Saccharomyces cerevisiae S288C: one gene and its partners. Changing the gene in region 3 together with the main gene of any one other region gives a genetic interaction. Each region holds a gene or a part of one and is shown on either strand. Other genes may lie near its edges.

Region 1 (5,644 bases), on a different chromosome or scaffold from region 3:
GTTCACACATTCTTGAAATACTTCACTCCTCTGATCATTTACCGACTTGGTCGATTCATCACTTTCAATGAATAAGTCATCGTTAAGTAAATCCCTTAGAGAAGAATCGAGGGAATGCATAGGCAGATTGTTCATTATCTCACTTGCAGCCATTATTCACAGAACCCTCTTGTATAAACCACACCGTAGTACGTTCTGCTAGTGCCTCTTTCTGTTTACCTAACTATTTCTCTTGCCTAAATATGTAAGTCTACGATGACTTTTCTATGGTACTTGATGTCACTCCGACGGCGATAAGCCGCTCAGCGCAGAAGTTTGCCCCAAAATAGAATGAAAGAAAATACTGCATAGAGGCTGGACAAGAAGGATATAGAGCAATGATATGATATTAAAAATGTAATTAATATATAGCCAAAAAAAGAATAGAACATTTATGAAGGTAAATGGTTATGAAAATGGATTAAATTATTCTTTCCCTTTATCTTGGAGAGTACGGAAAACTAGATTTTAAGCCATTTATCTTCATATATTTCATCAATAGTAGGTCTTTTATCAACTTCTCTTGTCAAAATTCTTTTTATCAAACTGATGCATTCTTCACTGACATGTTCCGATTTATCGAACCTTAATTCACCTTCCAAGATTTCATCAATGTTGTAATAAGGATTCTCTTTATAAATTATGGTATAAAGTAGCACACCAAGAGCCCAAATATCTTGTGGTTTACCTTTGTAAGAGGAACCACCAAGGACTTCAGGTGCAGCATAGTCCATTGTTCCCACAAAAACATCGAATGGTCCACTCTTGATATAGGCAGCCGAACCGAAATCGATTAATTTTACAAAGCCATGAGAATCAACAATAACATTTTCGTCCTTTATGTCTCTATGAACAATTCCTTGGTCATGTAAATGCTTTATACTAGCGACTACCTGTTTAAACACCAGTTTAGCTTCATGTTCAACCATATCTTTTTTGAATTCGATAACATCAAATAGATCAATACTACCAGTTTCTCCATGGACCGGTGTTTCAATGTAATAATAATCGTCATCTTCAAAAAAATCTAATAACTTCAAGATATTTTCTTGGGAATTTTTATTCAAGGTCGCCATAATTTGGATCTCAGAAGGTATAGTACCTAATTTTCTATCTCTCACCCATGTGTCTACTAAAATCCTCTCTTTGAAAATCATTTTGATGACCACGATATAGTGTTCTCTGTTATGAATGCATAAATTGACTTTACCGTACGCACCCTCACCCATCACTTGCAGAATAGTAAAATCAGAAAATTTCTTTATGCGCTTTTGTGAGCCTATATTAGCCTCTGGAGTAGTCAAGTACGTAGCTTTTAAAGTAGAATTTCTTTTGTCTAGCTCATTTGTTTCCTTTTTGATTTCTTCTCCGTTTATCGGTTCAATTATCCTCATTATAAATTTTTCATCCACTTTAAAGTTGTCGTCCTTTACAAATTTTGATTTGTCCTGCGTGTACATTTTCGTTAATTCAATTTTATGTTTTAACTCAGGATCATCAACCATTGTCATGTCATCGTCATAGTTATTGTTGTCATTAGATTCGATACCTCTCACTTTACCGCAAGAAGTTTCTCGTAGTTTTTCATTCACTTGATTTAAGTCTACTTCATCGTCTGAATTAGAAATCGTTTCAGCGGAGCTAATCGACAGATCAGCCATTGCCTTCAAAGTATTCACAGGAATTTTTTCCGAAGATTTCTTGGAAGATGCACTGGAACTACCTCTACTGCCAACGACATCAATTTCGTTCTCCTTTAACATCGGTAGCTGCGAAGGAACGGTGGTATAATTTTCAATGACCACGTCTCTTGAGTGTGTAATCCATAATAATACAGCATTCGTATTCAAGACCCGTAATTGAACATCCACCTTTATCAAATTACCATCTTTGTGACAGCCGTCTAGACCAATAGAAGTGTAAAACGAGTCCTTATCATGATGCATTTCAGCCTCAATTTTTCTGAAAAAATGTTCTGTTAAAACCAATCCTTTATTTTCTGGTAATGTGATATTTAACATAGGATAAGTTTTATTGATATAAGATATCATGTCCGCCAAAGAAGGAACCAACTTAGTAACCGAACTACCGGCCAACTCGTGAAGTCGCAAGCCAAACATGTTTTTGGCGACTGATTTGTTGAAACTTAAAAGACTTAAAGTGTGACTGTCAACAATAAATAGCCCAGCCTGATAGGGCAAACTATGAATTTTTAATTTTATTTCGTTTTCCAATACGGAAGTTGTAACAGCACATGGTATATTTTCAGATAGACAATTCAACGTAAAATATCTCTCTTCGTTGACATGATTTGCCACCCTGATAGACAAGGGTAATAAATCATCATCTGCAGAAAACACTTTTCCAAAACGTACATCATCAATTAGTTTACTCAGTGAGTGACTTACTGACCCAATATCGTGAATTTCATTTGCAAATTTTACCGTTTTCTTTTCTGTCATTGGCGAAGTTGATTCTTGCTGCTTTTTCTTGTCAAAGTTTTCCAGAAAGTGTGTTGTATCAATAATGCTGTCCACTGAAAAATCTCTCAAGTTTAACATGACGTCAATGTAATCGCAAGGCGTTTTTTCAAATACGCAGACCAGTAGGCCATTCTTCCGCTTGGCCCATAGTGAAGCCCAAATCAGATTTGGTACATTATTATTGCTTGTCGAATTTGGCTGGACGATAGGTATAGTTTCTCCGGTAAACACAATTTCTTGGTTATCATCTTCTGCATTCATGATTTTCTCTAGAACAAAATTTCTGCTATCCGTATGAATAAGGTCTAGTAAAGTAAGTGCCTTGATAACATTCTTTGATATACCGAACGTTAGACACGCCAAATCATTGGCAGCTTTGAAGTTCCAGGGGTATTGTTGAGAACATGTAAAAATGGCCTCTGGACCAGAATTTTTTGCAGATGTGAAAGGATGAAGAATTCGGCTATAGTCCTGTTGTGGTTTGATGTCTGCTAAGGAGACTATATCATCGTGTTTCTCCTCATATTCATTATATTGCGATTTCGAACCTAAATCTTTGTGAGGGAACTTCTTGTAGTTTTCAAAAAATGGTTCTGCTAAACTATCTAATAAAACCTTTTTCAAAGTTTCTGATTTTTGAATGTCTGAATCAAAGTTTATTTTCTTGATATTCAATAACGATAGCATGTGTAAATCGGAAGCTCTTTCGAAGGAATTGTTTTCCAATGCTAAATTTAGCAAGAATAACAAGTTTTCTAACTCGGACTTGGCTGGATTCAGTTTACTGGCAGTATCATTATCAGGCAACACCATTAAGGACGTTGCTCTCTGTATCACGGGTCTACTAGCAGGAGATGGCATATTGGATACTAATGGTGAAATTAGAGACCCATTTAACGGATCTCGCGATGCTGATAACGTGGCAGTCTCTGTTAAGTTTCTTGTGTGTCTAAGTGAGGGGGGGTATGCTATTACGGGTGCTTTTTTCTTCAACTCATGTAAGATGTCAGGACTGTTTACCATTATTTCCAAAGACCTTCTTAAGATGGTCAACCTTACTCCCAGTGAGTTTGGTGATATGGGATTATACGAAAATGCATGCGGCGACTCATTAGGTACAGCAACAAGGTCCGAACGATCATCATCACTGAATGTTGACGAAAACGAATCGACGGACGAGGAAGCGTGTTGGTACAAGCATGGAGGTTTAGAGAGCCCTACCAACGGGGTATTTTTAGAATATGAAATGTCGGCAGGAGCGGCTGCACTAACCGGGTATGTCATTGTGTTCTTTGTTTATGATTCTTTACTTTAATCTAGCAGGGCAGAGGAGTAACAATAAAACGCCCTGCAAAGAAGTATGATTACTGTTCTTGCCAGACTTAGAATTCTAAGTGTTAAAAGTCACCAATAAGGAAGGAAAAAAGTTTATGATAGTTTATACTGTTGTTGTTACTACCTGCTCCGTTATGTTTCTAACAAGGAATAAAACAGGGTATAGACGTGATGTCAGCTTAAAGAGGAAAACGAAATATGTAAACTTTGTTAAAAATAAACAGGGCCCCTTATTGATCGTTCGCGATGCTATTATTTTATAAGCCAGCCTTTATCGTTTCTTTTGATCTTGTTTCTTTTTCTTGTTTTTTTTTTTAACTTCGTTCTCTTTTCACGTACTGATTACTCACACCAGGAGAAAGAAGTTGAAAAATGCTGTTATTCTCTGGAACACGCTATTAGATAGTACTTGCTGGTTCCGTAGACAAACAGCTCTTGCGCTTTATCACTTCGACAAGTGTCTTTACAGCTTCGCGATGACATATCGTCTCTTGCCCCTGCCCCACCTGTAACAATAGCTTGGCCAAAAAAGAAAAAAATGTTCCGACGAATTTTTCCGCTGATTTTGGCTGATCGCGTCGCGCCACAAAAACGAAACTTCCATAATAAAACATTATATAAAGCTTTTTATTATTATTATTATTACTTTCTTAGTTATAGCATTAGAACTATAAGAGCTGCTAAGACACCAAGCAAACATGTCGACTAGACCCCAACCTGATTGGTATTACCATAGACATCCATATGCCTCTACGCCACTGGCAGAAGGGGAGGAACCACAATTACTCCCCATCCAAGACCAAGGGAACCATAAGAAATCAAAAATTTGGATGGCATACAAGGCTCCGATAGTTCGATGGTACAAGAATGCTATGCTTGTTAAAGACAATTTTTGGAAAGACCTAGAGTCGTCGCACCAGATCATCTGGTATCCGTATAAAGTATGTTGATGTTCCAATAAGCAGATCATGTTTTTTAAGCCGTCATACTAACCGCCTTTGAAGGGAATTAGCGAATCCGTGGGAAACTCGGATTATTTGCATCTATTTTTCCTAATATTTGGATACTACCTGCTGAATCTCCTGCTTATTGTTGCGTTTACGTCAATCCTTGCGTGGTCCTTGTTAGTGTGCATCTATTTGCCCTTTCTCGGACTCTTTGCGTTACCTCTGGCTTATATGCAAACTATTCTGATTTCCACAACGCTATGTAATTCTATGGTGAAGGGTACCGATTTCGTTCTTTTCACACGTATTTATGGAGTGACGTTCGCAAGAAAGGGATTAACAGAGTTGAGTGAAGCCTGTGAAACGATAAGTTTCACGCCCTTTGTCTACAGAAGGTCACATCGTTTGGGTGGCCTCTTTTCGAAACGGTTTTACCTCGTCTCTTTGCCGCAGTTTTTCATTTTTTTCTTCTGGTACATCTTCATAGCCTTTATGTTTCTTTTATTGTTGCTCGTTCCAATAGTGGGTCCAATTACAATCAATATGCTACCATTTAGCCCCGGAATGGGATTTTACTATTTTGAGCCTTATTTTGTTGACGTGCTACATTTGGATTCGCGCAAACTTTCCAAAGTTTACTACAAGGGCTTTGCCAAGTGGCTCCTTTACTCGATATCCAGCGGTTTATTAGAGTCTATTCCCATTCTGGGTGGGTTGTTCATTGGAACAAACGCAGTAGGTGCTTCGCTTTGGATAGTTAAAGAGATAAAAGACCGGGACCAGCCAGCCGTACCTCCTTCCCCTCCTGCGGAACCAGAAGAGCCTACTGTAGGATCCTAT
Region 2 (3,115 bases), on a different chromosome or scaffold from region 3:
AGAGAGCCGTGAGAGTGAGAGTGATATGATGACTAAGGTCCTTTCGAAGGTATTTGATATAGTTATCACTCATTGGCCCGGAGTTAGGGGGAGATGTTCGCTTGCGGGAGCACGGGAGAAGGAACAGAGCGGCGTTAGCATCAAGTCTAAGGTTGAAAAGCTGCCCAACCTAAGGGCATACATCAAGAATTCTTTATAGTTTTATATAAAAAAATATATATATAGATAAATAGACAGATAGATATGACACAAACAGATAGAAAAAAAGCAGAGCGTGGCTCTTTGAGGTGGAACCCCAGCCAGTCTTGCTCCTTGCAGCCAAAAAAGGGTCTTGTTCAAGAGCTATGTTCAGTGTCGCTGCCCAGTCGCCACAAATAATTGTAGGAGGGCGCGCCAACCTCACGTTTGCATTCTTGAAAAGCCTCTTCTTCTTCGGTTGAAGTAGCACACACTAACCGGAGACAGAACAGTAGAAACCACTAAGCGAAAAAGAAATATATGAAAAGAAAAAACCCACCAACAGCGATAATAACGAGAAAAAAAAAATTATACCCTCTTGCGATTGTCTTCATGAAGTGATGAAGAAATCATTCAATTCAAATGAATTCAAACCTGACTGCGCTTCGGACAGTACAAGCAAGCCGTCCATTTCTTAGTAATAAGAAAAGAATGGCTCTATTTGTTCAGGAAAAACTAGCATAAAAGAAAAAAAGAAAGCTTCCAATAACCCTGCATTCTGCTTTTGAAGGTACTTTAACCGGCTCCTCCCCCATCAGAGAACCACGACTAAAAAAAAAAAAAAAGAAAAAAAGCAGAAAGCAAAAGCTGGGGCTAGTGTTCTTGTTCACTGTAGTTTCCTGGTCATCGTAATCACGGCTGGATTACGCCAATTGTCAAGATCAATTGAATTGTCAAAGGGTAGACTGTTTCCCGCTATATCGTCGCAGAGTGGGTCTGCCAACGGCGAGGCCACCGCATCAAACAAATTGTTGTTGTCTACGGCAGGTAGCGTCGTCGACTCTGGTACATTTTCCGTCTTAAACATCTGCAGCTCCCATGAAGTCTCTTGGTCCGACGCGGAATCGCGCATACTCTTGGGCGACAAAGTCGCAGGCTCCATTGTACAGTTCAGAGGTGAAGGTGTGAACGTATCAGACGACGAGTGCGAACTGGCCCTGGTGTCCAGTGAAGCGCCCCTCGTGCTCTGGAAATCCCTGTACTCGTCAAGAGAAGCAACAAAAGCGTCGTGGCTGCAAGTCAACGCGTCTTCGTGGTCAGCCAGTTTTTCAAGGTTGACGCTGTTCAGTAAATTTTCCAAAAGAGAACATTTTCTCTCGAGATACTGCAGATGTAGTCTTTTTTTCTCTCTGCTCTGGTGAGCAGCTCTTCTGTTTCTCAAAATACGCTCGATCCTTCGCTGTTCCTTTTCCTCTTTTGTCTTGGCTCTTTTCCTTGGAGGCAGAGTCGACTTGAAGTTGGTAGGGATAGCCAAGTTCGATTGCGAATTACTAGTTAGTTCAAAATCAGTCATTTCCATAGTGGCGGTTGTTGTCGTAGGTGGGGGAGGAGGAGGTTGTTATGTTTGACACTGAGTTAAAGCCTTGGAAGTTTAAATAAAACAAGAAGACAAGAAGAAAGGAAAATTTCGCTAAAAAACATATTTCTGTATTCATTTCTCGAGTTGTCCATTGAGGTGAAATTTCTTCTAATATATAGTGAATGTAGGGAGCGAGAACAAAAGAGAACAAGGTGTTCAAAACCACGTTCATCACTCGGTACGATGTATATTTGCGACTCTTTTTAGCCCTACTTAATGCTGAGCCACTTTGCCTTACAACCCTCATAAATGTATTTTTATCCTAGCTTCTTTTTCCATATTGCCCTAGGTCTTGTTTATTCATGTCACGTGACTATATTTCCAGGTTTTTCTTTTTTTCCTCGTCCCTTTTGTGGGAAAAGAAAGCGTCCTTACTAAAAATGAGGGAGCTTTAACTTTAATATACAGCTTTTGGCAGCTTGGTGTTGTTTTTCATTGTAAAAATAAGTTGTTGTTCGTATCACAGCATTTTCAACTTCTGCATTGTCTGCCGTTTTTTGTATAGATATAGACGTATATATATATACAGAATTCTCTATCCTCTTAACCACTCCTGGAAGGCCTGCTGTAGAGGTTCTGGTGGGTGCTTTTACTGAATTCCTAACTCATCAAGCATTTTCCCTTTTTTTTTTTCCCTTTCCTTTCTCTTGCCTCATTTGATAGAATAGATAAGCCCAGTAGAGGAAGACAGATGTTCAATAGAAGTAACACCGCAGGCGGATCTCAGGCTATGAAAGAGGGACTTGGCATAAACAAGCTCTCCCCGATATCATCGAATTCGAACCCAAGCTCATTGACTTCCTCCAATTATGAAAAATATCTGCAGCTGGCCACAGAGAAGAATCCGTGTATGATCTTGGAGCTGGAACTGGACGGCAAGGTGCGATATGGCTCTCCACAGTGGAACACGATCACAGGAGTCGCCGATGATAGTGGCTCTTCTCCGACGTACATTGCAGACCTTATTCTCGGATCCGATCAAGATAAAGGTGTCTTTCAAAAGGCCACAGACATGCTGCTCATGAATGATGACACCAGTTGCACTATAACGTTCAAGATAAAGGCAGCCGACTATGAAGGTAGCGCAGGCTGTGACGATGAAAGTACGATAACGACCTTGGAAGCACGTGGTATCTTAATCAGGGATGGCCACACACAGTTGCCCTCTCACACGATGTGGATAGTCAAGCCTCGCACAAACGACTGGTCAGACTTTTATGCCAACGAAGACGCTCAAGACGACATGGTCATCCAGTTATCCGATAATTGCGACGATATCGATATCCAACTTCCCGAAGAGTTCGCCAAGACGCTTGGGTTCGGCGCTAAGATCTTCGTGCAGTACTTGAAGAGAATACGACTGGAAATGATAATAGACGAGTTCAATCTACCTCTGCCAAAAATGGAACTATGCCGGGTCTGTGAGAACTTTGTCCCTGTTTGGTGGTTGGAGACCCATTCGCAAAGTTGCGTTTGCGAGCATAGAACGGAATCGCTCATACAATTACTACACGATAA
Region 3 (2,959 bases):
TCTACTACCACTACCTTTGCTAGCATGAACAATGTTTCTCCCCGGCAAGAATTTATCAAATGGTGTAAATCACAGATGAAATTAAATTCTGGAATAACCAATAACAATGTCTTAGAACTATTATTGAGTTTACCTACGGGGCCAGAATCTAAAGAATTGATTCAAGAAACAATTTATGCCAATAGTGACGTTATGGATGGTAGAAGATTTGCCACTGAATTTATTAAAAGACGTGTTGCGTGCGAAAAACAAGGTGATGATCCACTAAGTTGGAATGAAGCGCTAGCTCTATCAGGCAATGATGACGACGGCTGGGAATTCCAAGTAGTGAGCAAGAAGAAGGGTAGAAAACACTGAAAGGAAAAGCTTCATAATTTTTTCTTTTCACTGCATATTTCTTTATCATTTATTGTTATTGTATATACTTTATAACTATTTTTTAACGCAGATAATGACAAATTCTATACATATTTTTAAAAAAACACTGAACGAGCGAATACATATCTTTGCACACAGTAGGCACTAATTGACTAATCTTCCATCATTATTTATTTTCAGCTCCCACTCTTTAATACACACTTCTTTCCGTTTCAAGATTGATTGATAACGTCTAGAGAGAGCTTGATTAAAGCAAATTTCTTTACAAACCATAACGAACAATTGAACCCAGCCCGGTTGCAATCTTTCAGCTTCTTGTAAAGTATCTTTAAATTCCAATTCAATTAATTTAACTTCAGTTTCAAATCTCTTCCAGTAATCCTCCCCAATAGAGCCATTTTTATATAGAAGGTTTATCTGAGGAGCCAACTCTTTTAACTTTAATGATCGTCTAACAGATTCTGCTCCTCTGTTCAATAAAGCGGCCTTCAACACCTTCTCGTGAATTTTTTCATTTTCACTCATTTCCTTTATTTGGAAATACAGATCATGGGCATCGTTTTCGTCAAATATGGATGGTTGCTCACTAATTTTTTTGGCCTGCTTCTTTCTGTAGCTTGAAGCAAACATCACAAGGGACACCACCAGAATAAAGACATATATGAGTGGGGTATAAACGGAGATTGATTTCGTCTCCACAATTGGCTCTTCCGTTTCAAAAAACGTCCCGTTGTTGGAGAATTTTGTTTCATTAAATTCGGACATATTGGCAAACTCAAGTAGTTGTGCGTACCTCTTTCCTGTACTTGAATTCGTTTAAATAAGCCATTTCATTAATATTTCATCAATTTTTTCACATATTATTTCAACTTTTAGACGTGTTCCTAAAACTTTTGACGTTTTTTGGCGGGTAATAAGATGCGTCTACCCATTTTAAGGAACGCCCTCGTAACATACAGAACGAAGAGTGGCAAATAATAGGACAGTACTCTGAAGAAAAATTTCCCTATACTACTGATATCGATATACATTTAAGTGAAGTATGCTTATCAGATTTAGATCAAAAAACGGTACACACAGGGTTTCTTGTCAAGAAAACGACCTTTTCGGAACGGTCATTGAAAAGTTGGTGGGTAATCTGGACCCCAATGCCGATGTCGACACATTTACTGTTTGTGAGAAGCCCGGTCAAGGTATTCATGCTGTTTCTGAACTAGCTGATCGAACAGTGATGGATCTAGGACTAAAGCACGGTGACATGCTGATCCTTAACTATTCGGACAAGCCCGCTAATGAGAAAGATGGTGTCAATGTTGAAATCGGATCCGTAGGTATTGACAGCAAGGGAATTCGTCAACACAGGTACGGTCCACTAAGGATCAAAGAACTCGCTGTAGATGAGGAACTAGAGAAAGAGGACGGATTAATTCCTCGTCAAAAATCAAAACTATGCAAGCACGGTGATAGAGGTATGTGTGAATACTGCTCGCCTTTACCTCCTTGGGACAAAGAATATCATGAGAAGAATAAGATCAAACATATATCGTTTCATTCATATCTTAAAAAGCTAAATGAAAATGCTAATAAGAAGGAGAACGGCAGCTCTTATATTTCCCCTCTTTCAGAACCTGATTTTAGAATCAATAAGCGTTGCCATAATGGCCATGAACCATGGCCTCGGGGGATATGTTCTAAATGTCAACCATCGGCAATTACATTACAACAGCAAGAATTTAGAATGGTTGACCACGTTGAATTTCAGAAGAGTGAAATAATTAATGAATTTATTCAGGCGTGGAGGTACACGGGTATGCAAAGATTTGGCTATATGTACGGATCTTATTCTAAGTATGATAACACACCTTTAGGTATAAAGGCCGTCGTTGAGGCGATATACGAGCCCCCTCAGCATGATGAGCAAGACGGTTTAACCATGGACGTAGAACAGGTCAAGAATGAAATGCTACAGATTGATAGACAGGCTCAAGAAATGGGGCTTTCGCGAATTGGCCTAATATTTACAGATTTATCTGACGCGGGAGCTGGGGATGGGTCTGTTTTTTGCAAAAGACATAAGGATTCGTTTTTTCTTTCATCATTAGAAGTTATTATGGCTGCTAGGCATCAAACAAGGCATCCTAATGTAAGCAAGTATAGCGAACAAGGTTTTTTTTCTTCCAAGTTTGTAACTTGCGTTATATCAGGTAATTTGGAAGGTGAAATTGATATTTCGAGCTACCAAGTATCCACAGAAGCTGAAGCATTGGTTACTGCAGATATGATAAGTGGGTCCACATTTCCTTCAATGGCATATATTAATGACACTACAGATGAAAGATATGTACCTGAGATATTTTACATGAAGTCGAATGAATATGGTATAACAGTGAAGGAAAATGCGAAGCCTGCATTTCCGGTAGACTATCTTTTAGTGACGCTGACTCATGGGTTCCCGAATACCGATACGGAAACCAACTCGAAATTCGTTAGTTCCACCGGATTTCCATGGAGCAATCGACAAGCTATGGGGCAATCTCAAGATTATCAAGAATTAAAAAAGTATTTATTCAATGTGGCTTCA
Region 4 (3,673 bases), on a different chromosome or scaffold from region 3:
GTTGGGTTGAAAACACCGATATAAGAGCTGTAGTAGCAATTAACTTCCACGTATTATTTGCCATTTGTTCGTTCTGCTATCCTAACTAATTGCAGTATTAATACTTTACTAACGCTAGAAAATTTTTTCATAGTCTTGTCTCTTTTCGCTACTGCATAAAATATGAAAAAGAAATCAAAAAACCTGACAGCAAAATGTAAAGTAAGATACGGGCATTTAGCGTGTCACTGCTGAAGATAACGTAAGACTAAAAAAATTTCAAGATTAATTCCCAACCTATATATATATATATATATATATATACTGTTTAGATCAAGTATATCTTCCTGCTAAATAATTAATATGCTCGTATGTAGAAAACAAAAAAGAGGTCTTTTCTCTTTTTTCTCCCGTTACTTTTTTCCCTGAATGCAATAACCTTTCCATTAAATGAGCAGCAATGGATAGGCGATTTATCACCTAAAATTCTCATCTTTTTTGGAAGGACACAATAACAATTGTCAGTTTATGTTGAATGCCTTCTCTCCATGTTTCAATGCCAGTATATTCCTGACATCTGTTGAATACCTCATAGCCTCCAAGAAAGGTAACAGGTTCAGTAAGTCCGTATCAGTTGGATCACTTATCCATCCTTCTACTTGAATAGCGTTATCTACATTCATTGCGTAACTTACCGGGCTGTTATCTATAATAATGACATCATCCAAAGAAGAGGAGCTGCCTTTCCCGTTTTCTTCGGAGTCCTTGACAATGCTCAAATCTTTAATGTATCCAACACCATCCCTTAGAACGCAATCAGAACGGTAATATCTTTTTGAAAAACTGGATGGGAAGGAGCTTTCTAACCAATCTATCACAGGATCAGCGTATTCTTTCATGGATGCTGTAAAAATGATAAGGTCGTACCATTTGCTAACTTTTGTCAAAAATAAATCACAGTAAGGCCTCTTGTGAATAAAGTATAGTGTACGAATTCCGCTCAATCCAAACTTCACTTCCACCAAGTGACCCTGAGAAGAATTACTATGCGTTGTACTTCGAGAAGCCGAGTGAATTAAGGTCTCATCGAGATCTATAACCAGTTTCTTTTTCTTTTGTGTGTTAAGCACGGATTTAGGTATCAGCTTCTTTGGAAATAAGAACCTTCCCATTCGTTTTGTACCAAATACGGTATTAGAACTTGAATGATTAGAAAGTGATAGTTCTGATTTGGAATAACTTCTTGGCCTTGATTTGACAGATTGAGCTCTAAGTAATGAGCCTTTAACATTATCCCTTTGTAGAATTATCTCATCACTGGCATTTAAGTCATCCTCAACTGCCTCGGGAATCGTATTTAGATTGCAATTTTTAGGATTTGTTTTCTCGCTAGAATCGTTAATATTGCTTGAACTGACAGGCAGCTCATTCTCACTAGCATTTGAACCCCTGTTTCTCTTATCGGTGTGTTTTACACGACGCTCGATGACACTTAGTGGGAAGGTAAAAACAAACCATAAAGACATCAAGGGCTTGATTATCAGATAATACGGAAGAAAAAGTAGTAGTGCCCACAAAATTGACGCTATTTTCTCTATTAGGATGGAACGTAAAGCTTTTGGTTTTTTAGGAACAGAATTTTTGCGCTCTTGATTTTGATCAGATTCTTTTAAGTGGCTTGAGGAGTGGTCGTACTGTTGGTCCACCTCACTAACGCAATCATTTTCGCTGTGGCTAGTATATTTGTTCGAAACTTCCTTTGAAGGGCCTAGTAGATCTTGATTCTTTGTCACCTCAACATTGATTTTTTTTTGTTTCTTTGTAGTTATTAAATGATTTGAGAAATATTTTAGGGCATTCATTCAATTAATGAAACAATGTCCAGAAATTAACAACAATAAAGAAAAGTGAGAATAGGATGCAAAATAGGTTCTATATATCCCGAGTATTTACCAGGGAGAAGAATTCGAGATAATACCCTGTCCTTACGTAGAAGAATCAATTGTTTTCAAGAGTTTTTCTTCTAAAAAAGTGTCTGGACCTTTTTTTTCTCATGCGATTTTATTACCCTTGTTTTTCAATTGAAAACCCGGAACGATTTAACGAGATCAAGAACTGTTGAACAAAATGGCTTTTTCATTTGGCATTCCATCATAGACTCTAATGGAGAAGAAAAATAGTAATTTTTTCTGGTGCTGCTGCTCCTTCTTGCATCTTCGGAAACAGAATTTACGTATCTAAACACTACTTTAATTATACAGTTCCTTCATATAATACCAATTTTTTTAAGGTTTTGCTGGATGATTAGATCGGTGACTGCACTCAATACGAACTTCATAGTTTGGGTATCGGTAGCGCAGGTTCGTTTCACGTAGATTGGTTTGTTTGTCTTATTCAAGCTCAAAAATATCTTCTCAAAATATTTTAGACCCGCTTCTGCATCGCCGACACGTCCCTGGTAATCAGGAAAGTACTTTCTTATGGGCATGCTTTTTACCTTTTCCTCGAACAAATCAATTTTATTTAAAAACAAAATAAACGGTGTATCTTTGAACCACTTAGAGTTCAATAACGTGTCAAATAGCATTATTGATTCATGCATTCTGTTCACTCTTTCATCCTCAAACAACATCTGGTCGTATTCACTCATTGCTAAAACAAATAAAACTGCTGTAATTCCTTCGAAACAATGAATCCACTTCTTACGTTCAGAACGCTGCCCACCAGCGTCGAGAACCTTGAATTTGGACGAGCCGATGTTAAATTCGGTTTCTGTAATGCCTGTAGTCTTTATACGGCCCTTCAAAATGTCTTCATCCGTACAGACATAATTCGGACTAGCAAATTTCTCAATGTTATCAAAGTAGTATGCAGCTGAGCCCTCCAATTGAAACTCATTAGAACGTGCAAAACACTGCTTTATACCTTTGTCGTTATTCCAAAGTTGCTTTATTGCCTTAGCAATGTCTTCGTGAATAAGATTTCGTCTATTTTGTCCTTGAATTTCCCTTGATGTTTTTCTAACAAACATCTGGTCATCGCCTTCTTGGTTCAAGTCCTTGCAAATATCCTGTAGGTTAATTCTACTACTGTTGTTTCTATCAGCATCCTCATTTTGCGTCACCGTTTCAGCATCTCTGTCAGTGTCACTTTTGACATTAGAAATATTTCCGTCTTCATCGAAAGCAGCTTTTGCTCGTCCGGTACTCTGAACACGCCTCCTAGTTTCATACCTTTCTGAGTACTTCAGTACATAATCATTTAGAAAATCAGAACCACCGGCAACACTGGCGTTGATATAATCTAAAGCTTTAGCCTTTAGCAGTATTCTCTTGCATGCAAACAAATCTTTATTGTTGATCGGATCATCACAGTCAAGTTGAATACCTAGTTTTCTGGCCTGAATAATCAAAATTTTCATTGATTGTATGGCATCTGCCCATATCACTTGAGCATACTGTAACCTTTCTTGATGGGAGAAACCGCCTTGATGTAATAATTTTAATTGTTTTAAAACCGTTGATTTACCTGACTCACCGGCACCTAATAGTAACAGTTTTATTTCATTCTTGTCACGTTGTTTCTCCAGCTGCAACGATTGCTCGATGACATCATTGGCTCTTTTGTTCTGTAGAAAAGGATCACTTTCGTCTCCTATTGTTTGCGTACTCACTGTACACCCCATTATTTCCTA

The links.
Region 1: mutations in SEC66 (region 3) and PSK2 together harm fitness more than expected from each alone (negative genetic interaction), as found in Saccharomyces cerevisiae (4 studies listed by BioGRID).
Region 2: mutations in SEC66 (region 3) and HAC1 together harm fitness more than expected from each alone (negative genetic interaction), as found in Saccharomyces cerevisiae (5 studies listed by BioGRID, with this or other methods).
Region 4: mutations in SEC66 (region 3) and NEM1 together harm fitness more than expected from each alone (negative genetic interaction), as found in Saccharomyces cerevisiae (4 studies listed by BioGRID).

Annotation. Positions count from the first base shown.
Region 1 is NC_001147.6:241,659-247,302, reverse strand, and holds PSK2 (serine/threonine protein kinase PSK2), read right to left. Parts: upstream 3,807-5,644; coding exon 501-3,806; downstream 1-500. Other genes in the region: PEX15 (Pex15p), read right to left, coding at 1-153; LDS2 (Lds2p), read left to right, coding at 4,556-4,798, 4,862-5,644. UniProt on the Saccharomyces cerevisiae protein: Serine/threonine-protein kinase involved in the control of sugar metabolism and translation. Phosphorylates UGP1, which is required for normal glycogen and beta-(1,6)-glucan synthesis.
Region 2 is NC_001138.5:73,601-76,715, reverse strand, and holds HAC1 (transcription factor HAC1), read right to left. Parts: upstream 1,538-3,115; coding exon 877-1,537; intron 625-876; coding exon 569-624; downstream 1-568. Other genes in the region: protein kinase RIM15, read left to right, coding at 2,289-3,115. UniProt on the Saccharomyces cerevisiae protein: Transcriptional activator involved in the unfolded protein response (UPR) pathway. Recognizes and binds to the UPR element (UPRE) in the promoter of UPR-regulated genes such as KAR2, PDI1, EUG1 and FKB2.
Region 3 is NC_001134.8:576,548-579,506, reverse strand, and holds SEC66 (Sec63 complex subunit SEC66), read right to left. Parts: upstream 1,144-2,959; coding exon 523-1,143; downstream 1-522. Other genes in the region: SMY2 (Smy2p), read left to right, coding at 1-357; NPL4 (nuclear protein localization protein 4), read left to right, coding at 1,421-2,959. UniProt on the Saccharomyces cerevisiae protein: Acts as a component of the Sec62/63 complex which is involved in SRP-independent post-translational translocation across the endoplasmic reticulum (ER) and functions together with the Sec61 complex and KAR2 in a channel-forming translocon complex.
Region 4 is NC_001140.6:111,254-114,926, forward strand, and holds NEM1 (Nem1-Spo7 phosphatase catalytic subunit NEM1), read right to left. Parts: upstream 1,842-3,673; coding exon 501-1,841; downstream 1-500. Other genes in the region: TCD1 (tRNA threonylcarbamoyladenosine dehydratase), read right to left, coding at 1-64; GPA1 (guanine nucleotide-binding protein subunit alpha), read right to left, coding at 2,246-3,664. UniProt on the Saccharomyces cerevisiae protein: Catalytic component of the NEM1-SPO7 complex which acts as a phosphatase and dephosphorylates the phosphatidic acid phosphohydrolase PAH1. Essential for the formation of a spherical nucleus and meiotic division.